2 linked regions of the Oryzias latipes genome follow. The protein of the gene in region 1 purifies or fractionates together with the protein of each later gene. This does not show direct contact. Links are inferred from orthologs where the notes say so. Each region holds a gene or a part of one and is shown in the gene's direction. Other genes may lie near its edges.

What was found. The genes of interacting proteins can lie anywhere in the genome.
Region 2: the proteins of atp6ap2 (region 1) and atp6v1f purify together in Homo sapiens (affinity purification with mass spectrometry; 3 studies listed by BioGRID and IntAct, counting the BioPlex papers as one, with this or other methods). This does not show direct contact. The link is inferred for Oryzias latipes from reciprocal best matches to the Homo sapiens genes ATP6AP2 and ATP6V1F.

What each region holds. Positions count from the first base shown.
Region 1 is NC_019879.2:8,800,889-8,804,274, forward strand, and holds the end of atp6ap2 (renin receptor), read left to right. Parts: intron 1-696; coding exon 697-750; intron 751-838; coding exon 839-988; intron 989-1,067; coding exon 1,068-1,187; intron 1,188-1,979; coding exon 1,980-2,174; 3' UTR 2,175-2,733; downstream 2,734-3,386. UniProt on the Homo sapiens protein: Multifunctional protein which functions as a renin, prorenin cellular receptor and is involved in the assembly of the lysosomal proton-transporting V-type ATPase (V-ATPase) and the acidification of the endo-lysosomal system.
Region 2 is NC_019881.2:23,881,999-23,885,149, reverse strand, and holds atp6v1f (V-type proton ATPase subunit F), read left to right. Parts: upstream 1-1,661; 5' UTR 1,662-1,731; coding exon 1,732-1,889; intron 1,890-2,271; coding exon 2,272-2,473; 3' UTR 2,474-2,618; downstream 2,619-3,151. UniProt on the Homo sapiens protein: Subunit of the V1 complex of vacuolar(H+)-ATPase (V-ATPase), a multisubunit enzyme composed of a peripheral complex (V1) that hydrolyzes ATP and a membrane integral complex (V0) that translocates protons.

The sequences.
Region 1 (3,386 bases):
ACCCACTCCGATGAAAATCACGTTTTTGGCATCTTTAACATGTTTTTGTGGCGTTTTTCTCATGATAGAGGAAATATATAAAGAAAATGAAGCTTAAAATTGCTTTTCTGAGTGTTTCTTTATTCAGATTGTTGTGAATCGGTAGCAGACGAAAAAATGCTGTTTGAAGAAGCTTGTGGATGTGACACAGAAGCTACAGTTGGCGGGGCATAACCTCCCTGCTCTGCTCCATTTTGATGCATCAAATAGCAGACAAATAGATCCATGTTTGTCTGTGTTTTCCTAGTCTGAGCTGGTTTCTGGATCAAAACTGTGCAGCTGGATAGCTCCCATCTTGTTTGCCATGTTTGTTGCACTTGTAATGTTCGGTTTGGGGTGTGAGGGGCCGTAAGCTAGCAGGAGAGCGTGTAAACAAATGGATATCGGGATGGGGAGGGGGGCTTACTCTTCACCAACAGTCCCGCCCACAACTCAGAGGCAACATTTTTAATGAACCTTTGCCGCTTTGCAGAAATGATGTCCTAGAAAACAACACAGGTTTTGGATTTTAGTTAAATAATCATAATAAAAAGACCACTGTAGTACACAGTAGATCTAATGATGATCGGGGTGGGACTTTTACAATCTCATCTAACCAAAATCCTGCTGGGTGGAAAAGAAACCTTATCTTCTTTGATGATGCTTTTATTTTCTTAGGCAGATTTGCTCTTCCTGTCTGAGGTCCAAGTGCTGCATGATATCACAGCTCTGGTAAGAGGCTGGTCAGTCTTTTCTTCAGTCATGGAGAAAGTATTTCATTAGCTTTGAGTCAAATGTATTTTATCTCATCTTGCTGCAGCTGCAGAGACACCGACATTTGGCCAAGGACAACTCTCCTGACCTGTACTCACTGGAGCTGTCTGGGCTGGAGGAGCTGAGCCGCGTCTATGGCAAAGACTCTCCTCAGTACCGGGACGCCACATCCATCCTTGCTTCTGTCCTTCAGAAGGTACCGAGGAGGACCGGAGGGTAATGCAGAAGCCTTCAACAGGACCACATTTTAACCTCCTACGTTCTTTTCATTCTAGTTTGGAGAGGACATGTATCGTCTCTATGGCAACAGTGCTGCTGTGGAGGTTGTCACGGTGAAAACATTTGAAGCTCCTTTGACCAGGAAGTCTCGTTCAATCCTGGAATCTAAGCAGATTGTAAGTCTTGCGGGAAGAAAGGTGTCCAGAGAACTCAACAGCATTTCATTTAACAATGGATTAACACAGGGGCCTGCAACCTTCAACACTTAAAGACCCTTTCAGGTTGATTTCACACTGTCTCCAACCCAGTAGGAGCTTATATTTATGTTATTGTTACTTTTATGATAAATATGAATGAATTCTTGCCATGAAAAAAAAACGTAAAGAGAAAATTACATTTCTTATTCTTAATATGAAATCGTTTATAACTATTGGCAGTTTCCCAAGACTTCCTTTCAAAATAAAATAGACCCTGTATCACAAGGGATCCTTTCAATGCAGTAAATGTAGTAGGTTGTCTAATGTCAATTGGGATTAAAAAAAAATAAACCCTACACAATTACTTGAACTGTTTTTGCTATAAATTTGTAAACCTGACTAACTCAAATTAAATCAGAGCTAATTTAGTGACCCAGAAGGCGCTTAAAATCTTTTCATTTTCTCAAATATCAACAGTGCACCCTGAAACAGGCCTTTTGTGACACACGGTGCTCAAAAATGTGTTTTAGTACAACTTTGATAAGTTATGAAGCCGCAAAGATGAGTGAGTTGTACTGTACTTTCACTGTTTGTAAATGGATTGAATAAAGTTAAACTTATCTGTTTTGTTTTATAGTCCAAAAACTATGTTAATCCTCGTCTTTTTCTTTAATCAGAGAGCTACAATGGAGGCATAACAGAGCCACATGTGGCTCCAGAGCCTCAGGTTGCACACCCCTGGATTAACTTAATGTTTGTGTTCATCTCCAGAGTAACCCTGGCAGCCCGTACAACCTGGCCTACAAGTACAACTTTGAGTACGCAGTGATCTTTAACATAGTGCTGTGGATGATGATCGTGCTGGTCCTCGCCGTCATCGTCATTGCTTACAACCTGTGGAACATGGACCCAGGTTATGACAGCATCATCTATAGGATGACCAATCAGAAGATCAGGATGGATTAAATTCTCACAGTCATCATCGCTGTTTTCAGAGTAAATGTTTGTGTTTTGTGTCGGGCTTTCTTTTGCCAACAAAGAAAACAACAAAACAGGTAATGTAAAAAAAGAAGAGGCTGTGATTGATAGATTAAAAAAAAAACAGAATATTTGTTGGGTTTATTCCCTTTACTTTCACAGCTCACATGATTCCTTCATAACTTGAGCTCCTCATGTTTGCTTCACCTGATCGCCCTGCTGATTTCTGTGTTTTTTTATTATTTGTGCAGTAAAAGTGATGATAAATTTATGAAAGAAGACTTATTTGGCTAATATGTCGTGCTTGGTTTTTGTGTGATGCTGTTTAAGTTAAATACATATGTGTATATATTGAGTATACAGATACAAAAGTATGAGGACCTGCTGTAGTCTTATTGTGAAAAATGTGTAGAAGGTTGGTTTCACTGTAATTCCATTCCAAATGACTACATTTTGTTGCAAGGAAACTTGATCATAATGTTTGTTGTTATGGGTGTAAAATAAAAGAAGCTCTGTAAATCGCAATAAATATTGAATCCTTAATGAATACTTCGTTCACTTTACTGATGTTTTTTAAATGCGATTACAATCTCGCATTTGAAAAAATTGTAAAATCACTTGTGGATTTTAAAGGTAAATTGTTTAAAAGCTGTGTTCTGTTTTATGAATATTTATTTTCCAATAGCAACAGTTTAACAGGATGTCAACATTTGTAATCAGAAACTATAAATAATATAACTACATTAAAAATGCACAGTCATACTTGCTCATCTTAGACCTGCTTGTCATCCGCCTTTGTGCGTAAGCGTTCAGCCAATCAGAATTGAAATAAATTGTAAGCCCCGCCTTTAGCTTTCTATGCGACATATCATTTGTCGCGAGACTTTAAAGCGTCAGCCATAAATACACAGAATGAGGAAGTAAGGAAGACGACTGTCCCCAAGACAGTGGACTTAACGAGAGACAACAAACGATGGTGTGATTACTGATAAAAGGTAAAATACTTGGTTAGTAGATACATTATTAACTTATCTTCTAACAGTAGAATTCCATGCAGCTTCTATAAACGAGAATCTAAAGAGAAAAACAAACAAATTATATTTTACTTCCTGTTTGGACGGGAAACCACATAAGAGATGATTTCTCACTTAGCTATATTTATTATGTATTTATTACGTATAGTGCTATCTACATTACGTA
Region 2 (3,151 bases), on another chromosome or scaffold:
CCAACAGCTGGGCAAACGGATGAGAACTGAAGAAGGGCCTCTTGTGTTGGACATATTTTACTTTAACAAGAGGGGTTATTAATCTTCACACAAACCAGAGGTATGTCTGAATAAACCCCTTTTGGAATCGAGGCAAACTTTATTAATTTTAATCGTATTTGAAAATCTTTGGTGTTGGACCGGACGGAAAAGGAAAGAAGGGAGGAAGAGAGAGGGATGTTAGAGTGGGGGGGGGGGGGTAGGAGGGTGATTATAAGGGGGGGGGGGGTAAAACCATGAAGCAGCATAAAGCAACAAGTTTCTGGATGGTTGTAATCATTACAGTGAGGTTCAGATGTAAAACAGGTCTTTAAGGGTGGGGCGTGTCCACACATACACACATACACACACACACATGTTATAACACACCTGTTGGCTCCAAAAAATGTTCACATGTCAACATGTACACAATACAAATAATGTTCATATACTCATACTTATGCATTCAAACCAAATAGTGTGAAACATTTCATTCAATCACGCATAATTTTAGTGCAAAGGTGAGCTAACACCTGTGCTCAGGTGAGTGTTTATGTTCTTTTTGAATGGATGATGGAATGTGAAAAGAAGGAAGGAGAGTGTCCAGCCATCCACACACCCCCACCGCAGCAGCAGCGGCAGCCACAACCCCCCAACGCCACACGGCAGCAGGCAGAGAACAACTGCTCCCGGGCGATCACATCCACCCACCAGGCCCACGGCTGGTCCAGAAAAGAGCAAGGCAGGGGCCAGCCGTCCCCGCCCAGGGGGAGGTCACCCAAGAGAAGAGGGGGTCCACAAGAAGTGTTGTAAACATGGCCCGACCAGGCTCGGCCACAGTTGGAAATTTGGCGAGTCCCATCACTCAGGGGCAAGGACCGGAACCCACACCACAGGGACACAGACACCCCCGGCTCCTGGCTTTGCCAGAAAGCTCAGATTAGACGCCCGTCACGCCCGTCAGACACTTTGTGCTTTTCAACGTTTCATCCCAGCTGATCTCGTTTACCTGAGTAGATGAGTTTAGAGCCCAGCCTGTTTGTAGTTCTGAAAAAAATGCATAAAAACACAAAAATGAATAGAATATAGAATATCTTTATTAAATATTGTAAATAAAAAAATATTCTCTAATAGGATATTTATGTAAAAATCCTTCTCTTTGTTTGATTGACTTTGATTTACTGTTGTCGATGCAGCAATGGGGCAGATAATGAGTTTTCTTCTTTCTATTTTATTCTTCAGTGAGGGAAGATGAAAACATACTAGATACGTCACTAGAATGGTGTGTTTGTGTCTAGTCTGCATTGCGCCTGTCGTGGCTCCATAAATACTCCAGTACAGAAAGAAAACAGACCAACAGTCAAAAACAGGCCTATGGTGACCCCTATGGTGACCTCTGTACATATTATCTGTTCCTGAAGGCAGGAATCTGCATATTTCTGCAGTACAATAGACATGCATATATAGAATCCATTAAATGCAGAATAAAAGATCACAGAAAATAGAATGGAGCCCCTGTTCACCTCCACAGGTATTTAAAAACGGATTGCAAAGGAATATTTTCAGGAAAATAAACGTTTTTTAACGAGCATCGAGGGGGGAGGGGCCGGAAATGACGAAAACTCAGCAGCCTGAAACGGAAGTGACAAAGTCAGCTGACTTGCTCACGTGACGTGAGCTTCGTGACTACAGAACCGAACCGAACAGCGCGTGATGGCGGGCCGCGGGAAGCTGATCGCCGTGATCGGTGATGAGGACACGTGCACCGGGTTCCTGCTGGGCGGGATCGGGGAGCTGAACAAGAACCGGAAACCGAACTTCCTGGTGGTGGAGAAAGACACGAGCGTCACTGAGATCGAGGAAACGTTCAAGTAAGACCCCCCCACCCCCATATGAACACGCACGCATGCACGCACCGTCGTGTCCGCTCTTTTGACCGGGATCATTATGAGCGCGAGGCCTCTAAGCGCTGGAACATCAAAGGGAAACGAGTTCTGTGTGGGACCGAATCACGGAGGAACTTTCCCGGTTCCTGCCGGTGGAGGGAGGAACGACCAGAACCCAGACGTTCCTTTACGGCTCTTACAGAACCTTAAGGACATCGGGGTTCCCAGTAGATCCTTTGGTCCGATGACGTCATCACCACGGGGGCTTCAGCCAGAACCCGGGTCTGGCTGCAGGTCCGAGTGTTTGGTGCCGGACTGGTTCTGGTTCCAGTCTCCTGTGGTTCTAACTGAGCTTCCTCCTCTGCAGGAGCTTTCTGGCGAGGAACGACATCGGCATCATCCTGATCAACCAGTTCATCGCAGAAATGATCCGGCACGCCATCGACGCGCACGTGCAGTCCATCCCGGCGGTGCTGGAGATCCCGTCTAAGGAGCACCCCTACGACGCGTCCAAGGACTCCATCCTGCGCCGCGCCAAGGGCATGTTCTCTGCAGAGGACTTCCGATGAACCGCTCGCCACGCCTTCATGTGGTTGTAGTGGGGTCCGACCCGCTCCCACTTCCTGTTTGTTAAATTATTCCACGCTCCCACTTCCTGTTTGTTAAATTATTCCGCTGTGATTTTGACGCCTTGAAATAAAATGTTGAACGCCGCTCCGTTCTCTTGACTCGCCTCCAACCCGGCAGCGGGAAGTCTGATGGTTCCTGCGGGACCCTGATGGTGCTGGGAGGAAGGTTGGTTCCACTGCTGCGTTCAGCCGTGGATCGGAAAACACGGAACCATAGACGCGTTTGATTGATGATGACATCATGAAAACGATAGTGGGAGGTAAAGGACGTCACTATTCGTGACATCACAGTCCTCCATCAGAGAGTAATGACATCATACTTTAGCCAAAGTGAGGCTGATGTCATCCAAAGTCCTGGTCAGACGGAACGTTGGAATCCTTCATGGAACATTCCCTCAGAACGCTGTTACTGCTCTTCAGTGAAAGGGGAAACGGTCAGACGCTGTTACACAGCAGACTGGTGTCCGGATCCAGGACCTCTGGTACTGGTCTGAGGGGGAGCAGCTAGAGGAACCTCCCCATGGTCTCATTCAGGAGGGGGTAGGAGTCTTCAGCAGTCCCCTCAGTGGTAGACCCCACAGCTGCAGGCGCTACTCGCCATGGAGCCGCCGGCTCTTC